Notamacropus eugenii: one gene and its partners. The protein of the gene in region 1 purifies or fractionates together with the protein of each later gene. This does not show direct contact. Links are inferred from orthologs where the notes say so. Each region holds a gene or a part of one and is shown on either strand. Other genes may lie near its edges.

The links. Proteins that work in one complex are often made in the same cells at the same time.
Region 2: the proteins of KIF5B (region 1) and KLC2 fractionate together in Homo sapiens (co-fractionation; 7 studies listed by BioGRID and IntAct, with this or other methods). This does not show direct contact. The link is inferred for Notamacropus eugenii from reciprocal best matches to the Homo sapiens genes KIF5B and KLC2.
Region 3: the proteins of KIF5B (region 1) and KLC3 purify together in Homo sapiens (affinity purification with mass spectrometry; 3 studies listed by BioGRID and IntAct, with this or other methods). This does not show direct contact. The link is inferred for Notamacropus eugenii from reciprocal best matches to the Homo sapiens genes KIF5B and KLC3.

What each region holds. Positions count from the first base shown.
Region 1 is NC_092874.1:72,367,404-72,374,609, reverse strand, and holds the start of KIF5B (kinesin-1 heavy chain), read left to right. Parts: upstream 1-4,204; 5' UTR 4,205-4,324; coding exon 4,325-4,450; intron 4,451-7,206. UniProt on the Homo sapiens protein: Microtubule-dependent motor required for normal distribution of mitochondria and lysosomes. Can induce formation of neurite-like membrane protrusions in non-neuronal cells in a ZFYVE27-dependent manner.
Region 2 is NC_092873.1:18,870,512-18,877,358, forward strand, and holds the start of KLC2 (kinesin light chain 2), read left to right. Parts: upstream 1-3,838; 5' UTR 3,839-3,967; coding exon 3,968-4,438; intron 4,439-4,536; coding exon 4,537-4,767; intron 4,768-4,955; coding exon 4,956-5,025; intron 5,026-5,274; coding exon 5,275-5,497; intron 5,498-6,078; coding exon 6,079-6,166; intron 6,167-6,267; coding exon 6,268-6,369; intron 6,370-6,468; coding exon 6,469-6,642; intron 6,643-6,750; coding exon 6,751-6,847. UniProt on the Homo sapiens protein: Kinesin is a microtubule-associated force-producing protein that plays a role in organelle transport. The light chain functions in coupling of cargo to the heavy chain or in the modulation of its ATPase activity.
Region 3 is NC_092876.1:27,702,666-27,709,862, forward strand, and holds the start of KLC3 (kinesin light chain 3), read left to right. Parts: upstream 1-4,188; coding exon 4,189-4,624; intron 4,625-7,197. UniProt on the Homo sapiens protein: Kinesin is a microtubule-associated force-producing protein that may play a role in organelle transport. Plays a role during spermiogenesis in the development of the sperm tail midpiece and in the normal function of spermatozoa.

The DNA of each region.
Region 1 (7,206 bases):
ACCCTATGTCACAGCTGTGCTTTATTAATTTAGTGGGAAACTTTTTAAAAACTCATTTTACTTTATGCCTCTAGCCCACTTGAAGAAGTGTGTTCCATATATTTATTATTCCACAGCACGGCCTAGTGAATAGAGAGCATTTGGAAAACCTGGGCTTAAATCTTGGCTCTGACGTAGCTTTACTAGATACATAATATAGGCAAATTACTTAATCTCTTTGACCCTGTAACTTCATCTGTACAACGGGAATAAAACCCACAGCACTTAGCTTACAGAGTTGTTATTGTAAGGATCAAGTGTATATACACGTATGTGTAGTGCTTATTATCTGTGCTAACTCATCCCCCTTTTTCTTTATCTACATTTCTTTGGCAATCATCTTCATTTTACCTGCAGTGGTAGTGGTGTGGGGAGGAGGGCAGGGGGAGGCAACTCTCTTTTTGCTTCCTTTTGGTCTTCTTTCATCCCCAATCTGGGCCTTTCTGACACTTTCCCCTAGGACTGGAACGTAATGCCACAAAATCTCCAATCCTTTCTTTGCTCCGGAAATCAGAACCTGATAAAGGGATGCTTCAACTCTCCCTCTCCTTACTCAGAAAGGAAACATTTCTTTTGTACAGTCTTTGATTTAAATAAACTATTAAAAAAAAGTGATGCTAACTGGAAGTGGCCCCTAAACAGAAAGTTATGTGACTGGCTCAACCACCAGAAAGAAATGAATGACAGAGATCTTTCTTGTGACCGGCTGCCCCCTCCATTAATAATAACAATAACTAACACTTATGTAGCACTTTAAAATCTGCCTTGGGTCACGCCTACCGCTGACCACCTTTACTCTCACACACATGCTGCTGAGTGAAGATGGGAAAAAACAGACAACTATTCTGTATCTGCTACAAATTTGTTATATAACCTCATTTGGGCCCTCACTGCTGCTAGGCAATCCTACTATATCCCCTTATCAACTCACTATCTCACTCTCCACAGCAGGTTTTCCAAATTATTTTTAGATCTCCTCAAAGCTCAAAGAGTCCTCCCTCCCCCCACTGTCTCAGATGAGAACTTTGCCTCACATTTTATAGAAAGAATAGAGGCCATTTACCATGAGCTCCCCTTTCCTCATATCATCACTCAGATGCCTTCCGCCATCATCTCCTCCTTCACTCCTGTCTCACATGATGAAGTGGTCTTACCTCTACAAAAAGGCTAACCCCTCTATTTGTCTGAGCAATCTTATTCCTTCCCTTTTCCTCCAACAGACTACCCCGTTCCGTCATCCTCACTGTCTCACTTCTTTTCAATCTTTCCCTGTGTATTGGTTCATTCCCTACTGACTACAAACATGGCCATATTCTCCCTCATCTGAAAAGCCCTGTTGACCCTTTCATCCCTGCTATCGTCATAAATATATATTATTTATATATAAAAAACCTGTTGGCCTTTTCATCCCTGTTATCATCATAAATAAATGTGTTATTTATGTATACATTTTTGCTTCTTGAAAAGGCCACCTACAATCAGTGCCTCCACTCTCTCCTCTCATTTTCTACTTATTCCCTTACAATCTGGCTTTTAATCTTGTCATGCCACTGAAACGATTCTTTTCAAAGTTACTAATGATCTAGCCAGTTATCAAATCTTAGCAGCCTTTTCTCAACCTCCATTCTCTTTGTCTCTGCAGGCTCTGACACCTGTTGATCACTTTCTCTTCTCTCTAGGTTTTTGGAATGCCATTCTCTCCTGGTTCTCCTCCTACTTTTCTGACAGTCCATTCTCTGGACTCTCCTCCAGATCATTTCTTCTAACTCTTAAATGTCCCTCAAGGTTCCACCCAAGGCCCTCTTCTCTTCTCTTCTATACTGCTTCACTTGGTGACCTCATCAGCTCCCTTGAATTTAATTAGATCTCTAAGCTGGTGATTCTCAAATATACTTATTCTGCCACAACTTCTCTGCTGATCTCCCATCTCCAACAACCTTTCAGATATCTCAACCATATTTAATGTCAAGCCAACAAAGCAAATTCAATATATCCAAAACCACTATCTTTCACCTCCAAAACCCTCCCCTGCCTCCTACATGCCCTATTACTGTAGGGGACAAGACCACCCCTCCAGTCCCTCAGGCTCACAACCTAGAATCACCCTGGGCACCTCACATCTCTCAACCTGTATAACCAAGTTGTTGCCAAGATCTGTTGATTCCACCTTATAACATGTCTCAAACATGTCCCCTTCTCTCTTCTTTCACATGCTGACGCAGACCCCCAGCACCTCACATTTGGATAACTGCAATAGCTTGCAGGTCTATCTGGCTGCCTCAAGTCTTTCCCCACTACAATCTTTCCTCCATTCAGTCACTAGTGATTTTCCTAAAGCACAGGTCAGATCATATCACCCCCCTACTCAATAAATTCCACTGACTTTCTAAAGCCTTCAGGAACAAATATAAAATGCTCTGGTTGGCATTCAAAGACTCTCATAATCTACCCCTCTCCTAGCTCTCCAGACTTCTTACACCTTACTTCCCACCATATACTCTTCCATCTAGTAACACTGGCTTCCTGACTGTTCCACAAACAAGACATTCCATCTCTTGGCTCTGGGCATGCTCTCTGGCATTCCCATGCCTGGAATGTTCTCCCTCCCCATCTTCACCTGCTTAAGTCCCAACTAAAACCCCACTTTCTACAGGAAGCTTCCTGGAACCCCTCTTAATTCTAGAAAATGAGAGGAGAGAGTGGAGGCACTGATTGTAGGTGGCCTTTTCAAGAAGCAAAAATGTATACATAAATAACATATTTATTTATGATGATAACAGGGATGAAAAGGCCAACAGGTTTTTTATATATAAATAATATATATTTATGACGATAGCAGGGATGAAAGGGTCAACAGGGCTTTTCAGATGAGGGAGAATATGGCCATGTTTGTAGTCAGTAGGGAATGAACCAGTACACAGGGAAAGATTGAAATTCTATTTTCCCTGTATATAGTTTCTTTGTTACCTCTCCCATTAGACTGTGAGCTCCTCTAGAACAGAGATTGTCTTTTGCCTCTCTTTGTATCCCCAACCTTAGCACAGTGCCTGGTACATAGCAGATGCTTCATAAATGTTTATTGATTGGTATTTATTTTCCTTTGATTTGATCCTCACAACAACCCTGAGAGGTAGGTGCTATTATGTTCCCCCATCATATATTATTATATATTACTATGTTTCCCCACCATATTATGTTCAGATGAGGCAACTGAGACTTGAAAGAAGTTAAGTGACTTGTCCAGGATCACACAGCTAACAAATGTCGGAGTGAGGATTTAAATTTGTGTCTTCTTGAGTACAAGTTTAACTGTTCTAGCCACTGTCCCAGCTATTTTACTTATTCTTAAATAAAAAGTATTATTGGAAAAAAAATCAAATTTAAAAAGTTAAATTGTCATGAAAAGGTATTATTGGCAAAAAAAAAATTTTTTTAAGTTTAATTGTCCTAAAAAGGTATTACTGGTCAAAAAAATTAAATTTAAAAAGTTTGGCTGTCATAAAAAAGATACTATTGGTAAAAAAAAAAAATCAAAGTAAAATAAATGGTTCAGTTGAGTCATAAAAGTATGGTATTACTGACAAAAAAGCCAAACCAAACCAAAATCAGTAGCAGAGCCACACATTTCTGGGACATCCACAAGTCCTACTAGAAGCTGGCCCGGAAGAAAAGGGTCTACCAGTCGGTCAGGGCGAGGGGGAGGGAGCAGAGCAAAGGAGGGCGGCCGCTTCACGCCTGCGCCCTAGCCCCACCTTCCTCCCTCCCTCGCTTCCCGGGCTCACCGCCGCCCAGAGTGGGGCGGCTGCGCACTGGATACGGGCCGGGGCCGGGCGGGCAAGCAGTCCCAGAGCCGGGCGGGTGGGCCAGCAGAGCAGATCATAGCAGAGCGGACCTGGCCTGGGCTGAGCCAAGCCAAGCTCAGCCTGTCGTTCTGGGCTCCGGGAGGAGGCCACGATCCCAGTTTAACAGGACTTGCCTTGGTCTCCGCCGCTCCCTCTGCCCGGGGACGCTGCCGGACACGCCGGACGCTTTGCCGGTCGCCGCCGCTATGGCCGCCATATTGAATCGGAAGTGAGGCGGGAGGGGGCCGAGGCGGCTGCCGGCGCCGGCGCCGGAGGTTGGAGTTGCTCTTCCCGGCCGCCCCCGCCCCAGGGGAGCCCGGCCCGGCCCGGCGCGCGGCGAGGAGCGCAGCGGCTCCCCCGGCGGAGCGCGGCCCGGGTGGTCCCGGCGCCGAGGCTGAGCGGCGGGGAGGGGTTCCGGGCCTCGGGCCCCGGCCGCGAGGAAGATGGCGGACCCGGCCGAATGCAACATCAAGGTGATGTGCCGCTTCAGGCCGCTCAACGAGGCCGAGATGGCCCGGGGCGACAAGTATGTGGCCAAGTTCCAGGGCGAGGACACCGTCATCGTGGCGGTGAGTATCCTCCCTGTCCGGCCCCTCCTGGCGCGGGCTGGGGGGGGAGAGGGAGGCCGGGGTGCGGGGCGAGGGGCTCCACAGCCTCTCTGTCCCCAGTCTTCGCCACCCACGCCCTTTCCGGCTGGGACCCCGGAGTCCTGCGCCCCCGGGTCTAGGGGATTCGAGTTCCTCGCCCGATGCCCCTACTTGTTGGTCCCCGTAGGAAACTATGCCTGTCACTTTTCTTCGGGTCCTGCGGAGGGGGGAGGGGCTGGAAATGAACCTTCCAACTAGCTCTGGGGTCGGTCCCCTCCCGCACCGCCATCCGGACCCCTACACTTTTTGCTTCGTTTAGCGAAGGTAACGTGGTTAGCCATTTGTTCAGATGGCCAAAAAGAACGGGACGGACGGTTTTGTCGGTGTCGGCTGCCAGAATTTTTTAGACGAGAAATAGCTAAGTGATCTGAAACGGAGAGGTCCCTCCCCCCACCCCACCCCGAGTCTTTTTCCTCTTCGTCGAAAGTAAACTTAACCGAGTTTTAAATTTTCGTTTCACAAAGGTAATAATACTGTGGTGTTGTAGTTTGACCTGAAGGAAACTCTTCGCTAGAAGAAATTGACCAGTTAGCTCGACTTGGTTTTCATTTGATTAACTACATACTTGAAATACAATGTAGCCAAGCTGTCCCATGCAGCGAAGGCCTGCCACAAAGGAAGTTACAAAGTTACTTGGTGAAGGGAAGTAAGTTGAGCCCTATCTGCACAAAGATGCTCGTAGTGACTAAGCTTTCTCCCGAATCAGGCTAAGACATCCAAGTTGGTCTACAATAATAGTGCTGTGGACTAAATATTTAGGAATACTTTCAGCGTGCTTTCCACTATATGTGATGACCCTAACGTGGATAGTCAGATAGTGCCTACATTGAACTGGTAAAGACTTAATTCTTGTTTTCCTGATGGTCCCAGGGCGTTGTGTTATGCTAGTTAATTACTTTGTATTTTAACTTATTTTAATTTTAGCTACTGGCATTCCATATTTAATAACTCATTTGGGGCAGTTTAATTTAGAAGAAAAGTCAGAGTCATTTATAGAATTTGGAATAGTTGAGAAGTTTTGAAATCTTAAAATACATAGTAAAATGTTTTGTTTTATTTCCTTCTCTCCCCCCCTCCCCATATGATCTTCCCATATTCAACCTCAGAAAATCAATGACAGCTCTAAAATGGTAGCTTTTCAGTGTGGTTCTGGTCTTTGGCAAACAAAAGTTGACTAAATGCCAACAGATAATATGTTGAAGGACTTGATGTCAGTCCCATTCTTAGTTGATAGATCCTCAGATCAGAAGCTTTTGCTGCAAATTCAAAGAAATGAATAAGTATTGAGGCTGGACCAGGAGAAGTTACCTTCCAGAAAAGGACATTTATAGGATATATTACATGACAAATTATAACCTTTTTCCTTGTAAGGTTATTCTTCATATGTTATCTTTCAGAATTGTATTTGTTAATGTAAGTATTGATCCTAGAATTTGGTGTTCATAAGTGTAATAAATTTAAGTTGGAAATTTTCTTTACGTTAGCATATCAGACACACCTTGTGAAGAAAAAGAAGAAACTATTGAGTAATTGTCCCTACTAAGCATAGATGCCTTAGTATGTCATTTTTCAAGATTTCTTTGATATTAACAAATGGAAATAGGTTAGGCCAAAAAAGGTAGACAGGTGGGCGAATATGAATCAGTCATGAACAGTTGGAAAGATCTGGCATTTAGATAAACTAGGAAATAATTTAATTTTGTTTAAAAAAAATAGTACAAGGGATTGAAGAAATGCAAACGTAGCTTTGAGATTTGATTGCAAGAGCTTAAGAACTAAAGTGTTTATTATCAATATATTATATTAGTTCATGATTTAGAATGGCTTATTTTCCCTGGATATTCCTAGGGTTTTATTTTACTCAAGACCCAAGTCTTATATTTTTAGTGAATTCTAGTAAGAGGATTACTTTTTTAAAGTAGATAGTTAAATATTTTTGTTTCTTTACTTCAGTTTTCTCTAAAAGTAACCATTAGTTTGCCATAATCATTTTCCTGAATCATACTGAATTATTCTTAAACATGTTTCCATTCAACTCAACTAAATAAATATTTATTAGTGAAAGGTACAGGGGTGGGGGAATACAAAGACAAAAAATGAAAGAACTCTTGTCCTTCTAAAGAGTTACATTCTTCTAGGAAGATTGGAATATTAGAGCAGTCTGAGTGCTACTATGGAAATTAATTTAAGAATCCTACTTTTCTTCAGCATTCATTTTCTATTACTCCATACTTAAATGCCGTCCCATGCCTTTCATAGATAAATGATTAATCTGCACACAAATCAATCTCATTTATAGTCAATTAGTCCCTCTGTAGCCCTTGCCTGTTTCCTGATTCATCATTCCAACAGATGCCAAACATGGAAGATAAGTTTGCTCAATAAATTTGATTAAAAAAAAAAATTCCAGGTAGTAGATAAAGTTTAATACCTGCATTGCCCTCTGAGTTTTAGGAAGATAAATGATTGTAGTTCACAGAATTAATATTATTTTGATTTTTGCCTTTGTGTTTGGAAAATAAAACTTGATCCCACACAGAAACAACTTGTTTAGTCATAGAGAGTTAAACTTGCTTAACTATCAATAAGAAAGACAATTCCTACCTGTTTGGACAACATTAAGATGGAGGAGCATGCTAGTTTGCATCACTTTAAGTGCCTTTGCTGTATAGGAGAAA
Region 2 (6,847 bases), on another chromosome or scaffold:
TTCTTATCTTACTGTATTTATTACCTATTCAGTTATGAAAATTCCTTTTTCATACTATGGTTAAACATATTTGGAGATCATAAATTTAAGTGACGTAGACATCCTGAGTCGGAATTGTTCTAAAATGTATTTAAGTCTTCTCATTCTTTTTATCAGACAGATTTTATCTGGCTCTGTGCATGCATGTATTCTGCTAGCTTTAAGGGAATAAAATAACGTGAATTTATAAATCCCCTAGCCTGTTTGCCTCTTTTAACAAAACTTTCAGGTTGACAACACAAATATATATGTATATATGTGTATGTAAAATTTATAGATATATAACATGTTATATATATGTAAAATTATATATTATATATGTAAAATTATATGTTATATTATACATATTATGTATATGTAAAATTACTACATACTTGTATTTATCAGTTCTTTCTCTGGATGCAGATAGCATCTCCCTTCACGTGTCCTCTGTAGCTAATTTGGGTACTCATAATGGTGGAATACAATGATAAAAATGAAACAGTCCCTGGCCTCAAGAAGTTTACATTCTCTCAAGGGAGACCTCCATATGTAAATATATATGAAATGCATCCAAAATACAAACAAAGTAGTTTTGGAGGAGGGGAGAGCCAGCAGCTAGGGGTGTCAAGAAAGGATTCAAGAGGAAAATGGCACTTGTGTTGAGTCTTGAAAGTAAGGGATTCTCAGAAGCAGAGGTGAGGAGAAAGGGCATTCCAGGCATGGGGACCAGCCAGTGTAAAAGCCTAGAAACAGGAGATGGAGGATAGCATCCAGTTTGGCTGCTGGTAGTATAGGAGGGAGAGCAATATCCAGGATGACATGGGCTAGGGTCAGACTGTGAAGGACTTAAAAAGAAAAACAGAGGTTTTTCTATTTTATCTTAGATCAACAGGAAACTACTCCTAGTGTAGAGCGTGGAGGAGTCACATGAGCAGATCTCTGCAGAAGGAATATCCCTTGGGCAGCTTTGTGGAAGACACATTTGGGTGGGGGGAGACTAGAGGCCATTGTCATAGTTGTGGAGAAGAGATATGGGCCTAAGCTAAAATGGGGGCTTGTGGATACCAAGAAACAGTCAGTAATGAGGGATTGCATGGTGAGAGAAACAAGATTTGGGTTCAAACCCAGGAGAATAGAACTGAGACAATGCCCTCAACAGAAATTTGTGTTGCTGTTCAATGATTCAGGTGAGTCCCTTCTTGACCCTATGGCCCATAGCATGGCACAAATTGGAAAGTGACAAATCAGGGTAAGTTTGAAGGAAAAGATGAGTTCTCTTTTGGATATTCTGAATTTGAGTTACAAGGACATCCACTTGGAAATGCCCAAAAGGCAGTTGGTGATGCAGCATTGAGACTCAGGGCACTGTGACTTGGACATATAGATTTGGGCATCGCCTGTATAAAGACAATAATTAAACCGTGGGAGCTGATGAGGACCAAGAAGAGGACTAAGGGATAGAGGAGCAGCTACGAGTCAGGAATACTAGCTGTGTGACCCTGGGTAAATCATTTCATCCTGCATGCCTCAGTTTACTCATCTGTAAAATAAGCTGGAGAAGGAAATGGCAAACCACTGCAGCATCTTTGCCAAAAACCAAATCTATAGAGGGTCACAGAGAGTTGGACACAACTAAATCACAAATCCCTCTATTTCCTCCCAACTTCCAACGTCCTGCTCTAACGCCTCATCTTGGAGTGCTTCTATAAGTCTATGGCATTCTGTTGTGTTCCAAAGGCTTCAAGACCAATCCCAGTATTTACCACTTTTTTGGCTTTCTGAGGATCGGCCCAAGCGCAAGGCAGGGAGGGGGTCATCACCACCAGATTGCGTCCTTGATGAGTTCTTTGACTGTGACTAAAACCCGGGCAACCAGGAAAGGCACAAAAGAGCCTTGGGTCCTGTAAGCCAGCACTTGAAAAGTGATGGTGCAGGGAAGAGAAAGGGCGGCGGAAGGGGCTGGGGATCCCAGTTCTTGGGCAATCTGGAAGTCTTAGCTCAGTCATCAGTCCTTCAAATGTAAGCCATTTAAGGTGAGTCCCAGAAGATGGCTAGGTATGGATGGAGTGTGGCCTTCAAGACTTTTTGATTCGATTACCCAATGTATACAGTTAAAAACTGTAAAAATGTCAGGTATCACCATCTTGTTACATTCTGGTTTGTGCGCATGTAAGTCTTCTGCCCCCAGGATTACAAAGTATCTTATCCCCTGGGGAAAGGTTGCAGAATGACAGACAGAGAGCCTTTATTCCCTTTTTTCCGTGAAGGGACATGTACAAATATACCCCGGTGCCCGCTGTCTCTCCGAACAGCTCGGTGCTTCCATAGTGCGTGTGGATTGATTGGAGCTGAAACAACAGAACCTAGAACCGCAACTGGAGGAAAAGAAGTCTTCAAGACGCGGATGAGTGAAAGAGATGCAGCAGAACGGGGCAGAGGCCGGGCCGGGCCGGGCGGCGCCCGAATTCCACTAAGGGGGAGGCGGGGGACTGGGAACTTGGGCTTCCGAACCGACTCCGCGATGCCCGGTCCGTGTGAGTGCGGGATCTGGCACTGAGCCCCGCCAGGCGCAGGCAAGCTCCCGCCCAGGACGCCTAGAGCAGCCCTGATCCGCGGGGAGCCCGGCGGACTGAGCCGGTGGAGCGGGGCCCCGCCGTGACGCGGCAAAGCCGCGGGTCCCAGGAGGAAGGACCGAAGCAGCCCCGGGGACGTTGGCCGGTTTATGGCGGACCAAGGCGGGGAGAAGTGGTAGGGCAAGTGTGTCGTGACTCTGCCTCCGCCCCGGGATCGGCCGCGGCGCCCGCAGAGAGACCTGAGAAACGCCACGTCTGGAGGCAAGAGAACACCTGCAGGTGCAACCTCACCCCAGGAGAGTTCGGGCCTGCTGGTCAACCAGGGGGAGTAACGGTCGGGGAGCGCGTGCGTTCGGTTGTGGGACCAGACGACGAGAGGCTGAGCAAGGTGGGGATGGAGGGACGAGAGGAGGGAGGAAACGGAGGGGATGGAGGGGATGGAGGGGATGGAGGGGTGGGGGGATGGAGAGGATGGAGGGGTGGGGGGATGGAGGGGTGGGGGGTAGGGAGGAAACTGACGGGATGGAGGAGATGGAGGGAAGAGGGGTGGGGGGATGGGGGATGGGGGATGGAGGGGTGGAGAAGGAAGGAGGGCTGGGGAGTTTGGGAGTGTAAATGGGGAACACCTCGGAGCAACCCCGCTCTTGTTTCTCAGCAAATCCCATCCTTCCGCCTGGGGCCAGGGGTGCCCCTTCCCACCCCTCCCCTCCCCCCCCACCCTTCCCTTCCCCTCCCCCGCTCTCCTCTTCCCCTCCCCCGCTGGTCTTCCCCTTTAAGGCGGCGGGGGAGGGGGCAGCACCCTCCCCTTCCCTTTAAGGCCCGCGGCGGCGGCGATCGCGCAGGCGCGTGGGTGGGCGCGGGGGCTGCCGGGAGAGGCGGCGATGGAGGCTGCGCGGGCCGTGCGGGGCAGCTGAGGCCGAGGAGGCCGGGCCGGGGCCGGGCCAGAGCTGGGGTTGGGGCCGGGGTGCGCAGGTGAGCGGGGGCAGGGCGGGGCGTCGTTCCGGAGAGAGGACGGGGGACCGGGAGCTCCTCCCGCCTGTGCCTCGGGCGCCCCCTGCGGGGCGGGGGGCTCCCCGCTCTGGCCCGGGGCACCCCTCGGGGAACCGGCAGGGACCGGTCCGGGGCATCTCCGGGGGAGGCGGAGCTCCCCTCTATTACGGGGTGCCCCGGGGGAAGGTCTACACTAGGAATAACTCCACACCTGCTACAAGTTGTCTGCCGTCTAGAGGGAAGGGGTGGGAGTGGAGATCACTCACAAGAAGGGCCTTCATCCCTAGGGGATGGACCAGGCAGGTCGGTGTGGTCCCTAGGGCCCAACTGGACCGGGGATAGGCCCCCATACAGCCCCAACCATCGGGGGGCTCCTCCCCCCCATGCTCCCTCCTCAGGGTCCCGGGGTGGGGGCTAAGAGGCCGAGTCCCCACCGCATTGCGTCTGGGAGGGAGAGCGGCCGCTGGAGACGCCCCCTGGAGGCCGCTGCAGGAAGTCCGGCCGAGCCACAGGCAGGACCCCCCTCCCGGCTGGGAGCCCCCCAGGCTGTCAGAGCCCCAGAGTTCTCGTCCTCCCCCTGCAGGGGCCTCCTCCCAAACCCGAACCCTCCGACCATGTCCACCCTGGTGATGTCTCGGGAGGAGAAGCCGAGCCAGGATGAGATCGTGCTGGGCACCAAGGCGGTCATCCAGGGGCTGGAGACCCTGAGGGGCGAGCACCGCGCCCTGCTGGCCTCCCTGCTGGAGAATGTGGCCGGGCGGGAGGCCGGCGAAGCCGAGCCCGGAGCCCAGGAGCGCTCGGGACTCCTGCGCCGATCTCTGGAGGCCATCGAGCTGGGACTCGGAGAGGCTCAGGTACCCGGGGGCCTGGGTCTGGGGGAGGCGGGGCCAGGAGTCCAGTGCCCCTCCCCCGGGCCCCCCTTCAGCCTTCTCTCCTGGCCGAGGGGCCGTAGGTGATTCTGGCACTGTCGGGCCACCTTGGGGCCGTGGAGTCAGAGAAGCAGAAGCTCCGGGCTCAGGTGCGCCGCTTGGTGCAGGAGAACCAGTGGCTCCGGGAGGAGCTGGCCGGGACCCAGCAGAAGCTGCAGCGCAGCGAGCAGGCCGTGGTCCAGCTGGAGGAGGAGAAGCAGCACCTGCTGTTCATGAGCCAGATCCGGAAGCTGGACGACGACCCTTCTGCCAACGTGAGCCCGGACCCTCCTCCGGCTGAGTGGGCTCCCTTTTCCTGGCACCCCTCTCCCGCCCCACACATAACCTACTCAGGGGCTCCCGCCCACAGGGCCGACTCTGGATCCCCTCCCTTCAGACCCTCCTCCACTGCTTTTCTCCCTTGTGTGATTTTTTTCTTTCGGGTTGCTGATTCATCCCTCAGGAGGAGAAGGGGGATGCTTCCAAGGATTCTCTGGATGACCTGTTCCCTAATGAGGATGAACAGAACCCAGGTAGGGAGATGGGGAGAAGTGGATCTCTTAACTTTGGGCCCTGTGACTGGTCAGGAGGTCTCAGTCCATGAGGGTGACCACATATATGCTTCTCAGAAGCAAGGGGGAGGAGTGTGTGACTGCATTGCCTGAGGACCCAGAAGTATGCAGATAAGGGGGAACCTCCCAAGACTCCCAAGTATGTGCTGCTGACTCTGTCCCAACCCCAGAAGGCCCTGGGGCCACCTCTGAACTCCTGCCTTCCTCCAGCTCAGGGCTCTGGGGCCGGAGATGCAAGCACCCAGCACGGAGGCTATGAGATTCCAGCCCGGCTTCGGACCTTGCACAATCTGGTGATTCAGTATGCCTCCCAGGGGCGCTATGAGGTCGCTGTCCCCCTCTGTAAGCAGGCCCTGGAGGATCTGGAGAAGACCTCAGGGCATGACCACCCCGATGTGGCCACCATGCTGAACATCTTGGCTCTTGTATACCGGTAAGGGGACGTCTGGACCTTGGGGAAGGGGCAGCTAGGTGGTGAGGGGAATAGTGTACCGGACCTGGAGTCAGGAAAACTCCATGAGTTCAAATCTAGCCTCAGCCATGTGGCTCTGGGCAAGTCACTTCACCCTGTTTGCCTCAGTTTCCTCACCTGTAAAATGAGCCGGAGAAAGAAATGGCAAACCACTCCAGTGTCTCTGCCCAAAAAAAACTCAAGTAGGGGCATGAAGGGTCAGGCAAGACTGGAAAATGACTAAATGAGAGGCAGCCTTGGATTCTGTACAAAGTAGGCTCTCCATAGGATTGACCCTACCCCAGGTGAAGAAAGGAGGGGCCGGTGTAGGTGTATGAACCTAGAAAACCCACACTGGTGCCTGAAAGCCCCTCATTGGCTCATCACTCCTCTGAGGTCAGCCTTCCTCCCCTCGAAGCCCCTCACAGAAGCTGAAAATCTCCCTGTGGCCCAGCAGGCAGAGTCCTGGCTCAAACTGGCAGCAGCCTCATTTTATAGATGGGGAGCAGGAAGTTGACCAGCAGTCCTTCCCCTGCCCCTCCCCCACCTCCTTGTCTTCTCAGTGATCAAAATAAATACAAAGAAGCTGCCCACCTGCTCAATGACGCTCTAGCCATCAGAGAGAAGACCTTGGGCAAGGACCATCCAGCTGTGAGTGAGGCCCGGCTCCCTGGGCTGGGGGTGTGGGGCGAAGAGGACCCTTGGCTGGCCAGGCCTCTGCAGCCGTTTTCCTCTCTTTGCCCTGGACCCAGGTGGCAGCTACCTTGAACAACCTGGCGGTTCTGTATGGCAAAAGGGGCAAGTACAGAGAAGCAGAGCCCTTGTGCAAACGAGCCCTGGAGATTCGAGAGAAGGTAGAACCCATCTGGGGGCCCCTGTCTCCCTGGGCCTGGGGGAGGAGCTGGGGGGGGTGCGTCAGGGCACAAGTGAAAGGAGCCTCCACCTTCTCCTAGGTGCTGGGCAAGTTCCACCCGGATGTGGCCAAGCAGCTGAACAACCTGGCCCTCCTCTGTCAGAACCAGGGCAAGGCCGAGGAGGTGGAGTACTACTACCGGCGTGCTCTGGAGATCTATGAGGCTCGGCTGGGTCCTGATGACCCCAACGTGGCCAAGACCAAGAATAACTTGGTGCCTGATCCAAGGGAGGCACTGGGGAGGGACAGCCAGGGCGCACTGTGGGCCCAGCATGGTAGGGCGGCTGGGGCCTCACTGTCTCCCTGTCTCCCCCTTCCTCAGGCCTCTTGCTATCTGAAGCAGGGGAAATACCAAGATGCAGAAACCCTGTATAAAGAGATCCTGACTCGTGCCCATGAGAAGGAATTTGGCTCAGTCA
Region 3 (7,197 bases), on another chromosome or scaffold:
CAAGGGGTCTGGAGACTAAAAAATGATTGGAAATTCCTAATGAAGATGACTCCCAATGACTACATTCAGATTTTATCTTCCCCCTGGACATCACTCTCACATGACCAACCTTCTTCTGGACATCCCTACCTATATATCAAATTCAGAATATCCCCCCCCCCCAATGAATTAATTCCACCTCAAAATCACTCCTCAAAACCCTTATTTCTATGGGGAAAGCACCACCAACTTTCCTGTCACCCAGGTTCAAAATCTCAGTGAGACCAGCAAGATGACCAGAGAGTTGCAATCTACAAACTTTTCCAACCTGAGAACCTCAGAAGAAAGAAACTCTGCCCAAGAAATGAGTAAATACAGCTTAGTATTTAAGAAGATTTAGTTCTGCATCAGGAGCTTTAATTTCTGTCCTAAAGATAAGAAGACAGAACCTCCATAAGTAAGGTAAAAATGTCATTAACAGAAAATGTTAACAGAGAGTTTTCATTTCCTATCCTTGTGTGTTCATCCTTCGTTGCTGAAGAAGACCATGCCACCAGAGAAATAATGACATGACTTGCACTTGACTTTGTTTTGAGTGAAGGAGGGCTGTGCAGGTCAGCAGCCTCACTTTCCTCCAGAGCTATCTGAATCCAGCCACCAAATATTCATCAGGATGAGTCATCCTGTCCTTAATCACATCTAACTCCAGGCACCTATCAAAGTAGGTACAACCAAGGACTTGTGATTCAGGAACCTCACAGAGCAGTAATCTTACCCAAATCCCACTGGCCCCACAAGAAGTAGCAGACACTAATTCTACCCAGCCACTTAAAGGAGAAGGCTTGATGGAACATAAAACACTATGAAGGTAGAAATCAAACCATGAGGATCAGTGTCACAGACTGGAGGGGAATATTGATTTAAGAGAAACAGAAACCCACTCAGGACCAGTCTTCTCCTAGATTTCTCTCAAGGCCCTGCTGACTCCCACATCTCCCAACTCAAGGTGCTACTGGGGCTACCTTGGGAGGTCTATCTGTGCAAGGGTGAGAAGTAAAGTGATTTAGATTCCTGAAGGTAGGTGGAAAAGAGGACAATTGAAATACCCAAGAGTAACTGAGAAAGACTGAAAAAAATTCCAGCCCCCAAACAGATAAACTACAAGAGAACATAATATTTATAGAAGGAAGGAGTAAACCTCAAAAAAGAAACCAAAACTCTTGGAACAAATATTATAATATGATGATAAATGGACGAGTGTTACCTAATGAAAGAGAGGCTCTTCCAGAAATCATGAGATGATAGCAAGAAACTCCAGAATGGTTCAGAAGAAAAATACAACTTTTAAAAGCGGAAATTATGAATGAAATTAGGACAGAATTCAAAGCTCCCAATGCAGAATTAAAAAACACAAATAGAGTAAGAAAAATTGAATACATGATAAAGAACAAGAATTTGGAATGCAAATAAATACATTAAGTGGACAGAAATTCCACAGAAAAGAAGCAAAAGGCAATAATGTTACAAGAACACATGAACCCTATACAAGCCCAAGTGGCTGACTTTGAAGATAAGCTGCATAGGGATTGTTTAAGGATGAAAATTCTCCCAGAAGAACATGAAAAATCAAACATTCTTGAATACCCTCATGCAGGAAATAATTTAAGAAAAACATCAAAACCTTGGAGTCATCTTTGACGCCTTCCTTTTCCCTCATCCCCCTATATTTAATCAATATTCTAAGCTCCTTGAGGGCAAGGACTATCTTTTGCCTTTTTTTGTATCACCAGTATTTAACACAGTGCCTGGCACATAGTAGGAACTTAATAAATGTCAATTGATTAATTGATCTATTGATTAATTAGTTTCTCTTGACATCTTTTTCTCTCTTAAAACATCTCTCACATTTATCCCTTTCTCTTCAGGCCCATGACCACTACTCAGGCTTGAGTTCTAATCTCCTTTCATGGATTCCAACAAAATAGCTTTCTTGGCTTCCTTGCTTGTAGTCTCTCTTCTTTGCAATTATGCTCCACATAGATGCCAAACTGATCTACTACAACAGAATCCCAACAATAACACTTCCCTTCTCAAGATTTTCTATCCCTTCTAATATAAAATATAATTATAAAATATAATATAAAATACAATTTCCTCAGGCCTTTAAAGTCCTTTGCAGTCTGCTTCCACCTACCTTTTCAGACATTTCATTTTACTTCCCTTCACAAGTTTAGATTTCTAGTCAAATTCTAGCCATTCCATTTCCCGCCTCCATATCTTTGCATAGGTCATTCTGATTGCCTGAAATGTACTCCCTCCTCACCATATAGTTCAGTTGCCATCCTCTGCTCAAAACCTTTCCTGATATTCCTATTTGTTGGTATTTTCTCCCCTTTTCAGCTGATCATGTATTTAGTTATCTGTTTCCAGGGAGATAGGCTAGAATAGTCTAGTGAATATAGTACTGAACTTGGAGTCAGGAAGATCTGAGTTCATATCCTGCCTCTGACATTTACCAACTACGTCACTATGAAAAAGTCACACTCTCTTAACTCAGCTTCTATGACCATAAAAAGAAAAACAAAAACAAAAACAGTAGGAGAGGGTCAGTATTAATTCTTCTTTTATTTGCTTACCTTGCAGAGTTGCTACGAGACTCAAATGAGATAATGTATATAAGAAACTATGTAAATATTGTTATTAACCTTCTTATTTTTATTTTTTGCTGTTATTGCATCCTCCAGTAGAATGTGAGCTCTTTGAAGGCAAGAATTACTTTTTATTATTATCTTTATAGCCCCAACAGCCGACATTCCTGGCATTTTTCACAGAGCAGGTGCTTAAAAATTATCATTTGATGAATTCAGTTAGGAATCTATAACTCTAAAGTTCTAAGGAGTAGGGATATTGTGAAGGAAAATTCTATAGGGATTAAAAAATAAAAGTCAACACTTGGGCTTTAAAAAAATCAACTTTTCAAGCACAAGATGGGAGAAGTGTGTCTAGATATCAGTTCTGAAAAAGAAGTGGGGGGGAGTGTCTTAGTGGTTTGTAAGACCTCTAAACAATGTGGACTAGCAGCAAGAAAAGTTAATGCAGTCTTAGGTTCCTTTCAGATAAGCATAGTATACCCTGGACTTTCCATTCATGAGCTATTGAGGAAGCTTCATTTCTTGGAGAGCCAACCCCAGGCAGGAAGACCTGGTTTCAAGTCTTGCCTTTGATATATATGGACTGTGACCCTGTGCAAGTCTAGTGTCCTAGATGACTCTCCAGAATTAGAAATTGTGGAGCTGCTGCTAATTCATATTTACTAGCAGAGAAGCAATTACAGGACTAGGAGGTCCCTTCACCAATGAAATTTTCAAAAGTAAATTTTTAATAATTGTATAGAATTAGGGAGGTGACTGTAGTCAGGCCCTGATCATATCCACACCTGGAATATTGTGTTCGGTTCTGGGTACACATTTTAGGAAGGGTGTTGATTAGATGGAGAGTATCCAGAAGAGAGGGACAGTTGAGTGGTACAATGCGTAGAGTTCCAGGCTTGGAATCAGGAAGACTCATCTTCCTGAGTTCAAATCCAGCCTCAGACACTTACTAGCTGTGTGACCTTGGGCAAGTCACTTCACCCTGTTTGCCTTAGTTTCCTCACCTGTCAAAGGAGTTGAAGAAAGAAACTGCAGTATCTCTTTCAAGAAAACCGAAGATGAAGTCACGGAGAATCGAACACGATTGAACAACATCAAGAGGAGGGCAACGAGAACGGTCGAGGATCTTGAGTTCATGTCATATAAGGAGGGGTCGGAGGAACTGGGGAAGAGGAGACTCAGGGAGTTACCTGGTAGCTTTCCCCAAGAATCTAAAGGATTGTCCTATGGCCAAGAGATTAGCCCATGGGGGCGGAACAGGGGGCAGGGGGCGGTGGGAGTTCACAGAATCACAAAGGTTAAGAGATGGAAGAGATTTCGGCGAGCAGCCAGTTCAGCTTCCATCCAGTAGGAACCCTTGAATGATATCCTCGAGCAGCAGTCCTCCAATTTCGGCTTGGAGATCCCCTCGAAGTAGGGGCTGCCCACTCCCCTAGGGGACGGCTCTCCCTGGTGGGAAGCTTGGGACATCGAGCCTAGTCTGCCTGCCTTTTGGCTGCTCATGGGGCAGCTGTATCCAGACGTCAGCAAAGCCTTTTTTAAACTTTATTGTTCAACAATGAGATCTGTCCACATGGGGAGTGAGCTGTCTCCCGGCCTGCCGCATTCGGACTGCCCCAAGCGGACGACCCAGACCCAAGCGCCGGCCGCAGCTCCGCGACTCGGAAGAAAGTGCTTTAGAAGCGTCTCTGACGTCACGGCTCCCCCATTCAGGGCTCCCCACCCCCAACTGCGCCCACAGAGCACCACGGGTAGAACCTCACCTGCAGGGAGCAGGGCGGCCCCTCCCCTCCCTAATCCTGGCTTCGGCCCCGCCTCCCCCGGAGCCTCCTCGGAGCCCTCCAGCAGGCTCCCAGGAGAAGGCTGGGGAGGCGGCAGCTGCGGAGCGAGCCCTAGCGACAGCGACAGCGACAGGGACAGCGACAGTGAGAGCGACAGCACGGACTGGAGCTGGAGCGGGAGCGGGAGCTCCGGGGAGAACGGAGTGCAGACAGGTAGCGAAGCGGCCCAGCGGATGGGGGCCCAGGGCACTCCCGGCTCCGGCTCCCCACACCCCTAGCCTCCCTCCAAGGTCCCTTCCACCCTCCTGCCTCCTCCAGTAGTCCCTCCAGGGCCCCCTCCATCCCCTTGCATCCCCAATACTCTCTCCAGGGCCCCCTCCACCTCCCTGCCTCCCTCTGTCCCCCTCCCTCCAGGGCTCCCTCCACCCTCTTTGCCTCCTTCCATTCCCTTCCCTCCATAACCCCTCTTTCCTTCCCTCTGTACCTCCTCCCTTTTTCTATCTTTCTGTCCCTTCCCTCTATTGCCCCTTCCCCCTCTTTTCCTTCCTCTGTTCCCCTCCCTACATTACCCTTCCCTTTTCTTCCCTTTATCCCCCTCTTTCTCTTCCTCCATCCTCCTCCCTCCATCACCCCCACCGTAACCATACACCATCCATCCCACTCTCCGTTCATCTCCTTCCTCCTCAATCCTGCTACTTTCACCACAAGGGTGTCCCTGGCTCCCCTAGTCCCGCCCCCTCCCCCCCAGGATTCCAAACTCAGATCCCCCCACATGCATACACTTGCCGTCCCTCCCCCTCCGCACAGGTAAACAGGAGCCAGGGCGGGGTGGGGCGGGGCCAGTGCTTGCCGGTGTGGTAGGACTGGGGCCTCCGAGTGAGTTGACCTAGCGACTGGTGGGTGTTGGGGGGATGCGAACTGGGGACCATGAACCTCTCTGTGTGTGGAGCTGTGATTGTGGGTCGGCTCAGAGGAGGGATGGTCTAGGTGACAAACAACAACGTGGGTCTGACCGGGGAGTCCACAGAACTTGGTGCCCATCCTGACCGGGCAGCACTGACCTGGTTGCCTGTCCAATCCCTTCTCTAGGTTTCTCTTATCTAATGAAAAAAAAAAAAAGCCAGGGGTAGGACTGGGGGAGGATGTTGATGCATGACTGAAAGTCTATCGCAGTCCCGAAACCCTAAATTCTGCAAAGTGGTGTGTGGGAGTCAGGGTTCTAGGAGCAGAGCCATACATAGCCAGATGAGGGTGGAAGAGTGTATACCAAGCTATGTGGAATCCAGAAGGCAGTGCAGGCAGGCCGGGTCCATGTTGGAAAGGTGTGTGTAAGGTATGGAGGCAGTGTGTAACCCTGTGAGATTTTCTTCTGGGGAAGAAAACTGTCTCCAAGGGCAAAACTCAGACATCATCTGTTTGTGGTCCCTTCCAGTTTGGAAGTTCACTTGGTTCTCCTAAGGTCTCTTGTTCTTACTCCACTTTTTAAGGTCCCTCCAAGTTCTGAATCTGTTTTTTCTAAGGGCCCTCCTTGGTCTGGCATTCTGTGCTTTAAGGTCTCTTTTAGCAATGGCATCCTATATTCTTTGGCCCTTTCCAAAGATGTCAGACTATGGCAATCTAGAGACCAGCCAAGTTCAACCCTCTAATTTTACAGATAAGGACACTGAGGACCATGAAGAAGGGCCTTGCACAGGGTTATTTGGTGAGTTAGTTAGGACTGGCCCTAGAACCCAGATCTACTCTATGATCTGGGATGCATATGAACTCAGCTACAGTAGGGGTCACCCTTGGTGAGGTGGCCGACCACCTGCGTACCCATCCAACACATAGGGGCCACGCCTGATATGGACATCTGTGTCTGTCTCTACATGCCCAAAGCCATCCTGCTTGGCCTGTCTAAGAAGCTGGATGGTGTCCACCCACATCCTGGCTGGGGAGTGACTGGGGAAGAGACATAAAGCCAGCTGTCCCCATGGCGGGGCATGCTTGTCCTCCTTTCCCTAGACCACAGGGATGACCTCTAAGTGATGAAGTAGGTTTCTTCAAGTTTCTCTCACACTCCCACCAGGCACCACTGATCTCTCTGCTCTGGTCTTCCCCACCCTTGCCGAGGCAGCTGTCAGACTGGTTCCCAGCACAAGAAGGCGGCAGGGATGAGGTCATGGGGAAGAAGCTTCACCAGACACACACCCCCACCCCACCCCAGCACACACACACCCAAGCAACCCTCTGCAACAATGCAGAACTGGTCAGGAGTCATTTCCATTCACCAAGCATCTATTAAGCACCCTAGGAGGGGAAAGAAAGGAAAAACAAGCATTTATACAGCACCTCTTGTATACAAGGAAACTGTGTTGAGCCCTGGCAATAGAAAGGTACAAAATGATCTGGGGGGCTAGTCCCGTGAACCCAGTGTGTTACTTTGGACATATCACTTCCCTCTCCCAGCCTCTCTCCTCTGTAGAAGTGGAGTTACAGTCTCCAATCTGTTCCAGCTCTGAAGTTTATCATGTTTTTATTCTTTGTTAACAAAAGCTGGCATTTATATATATTGCTTTAAACACTTTACATGCTCTGTCTCACTGAATCCTTGGAAGACAGGTACTCTAAGCATCCCCATTTCAGAGAGGGGAGATGGAAGTCGAGAATAATAAAGTGACCAATCCAGAGTCTTACAGCTAGCAAGTTGCCTGAGGAAGCATTTAAACCTAGGTTTTTCTGACTCCAAGCTCAGTGATTATACCAGGGAGTTTCTTTTGTTCTATATTCTCTCCCCACTGTGATAT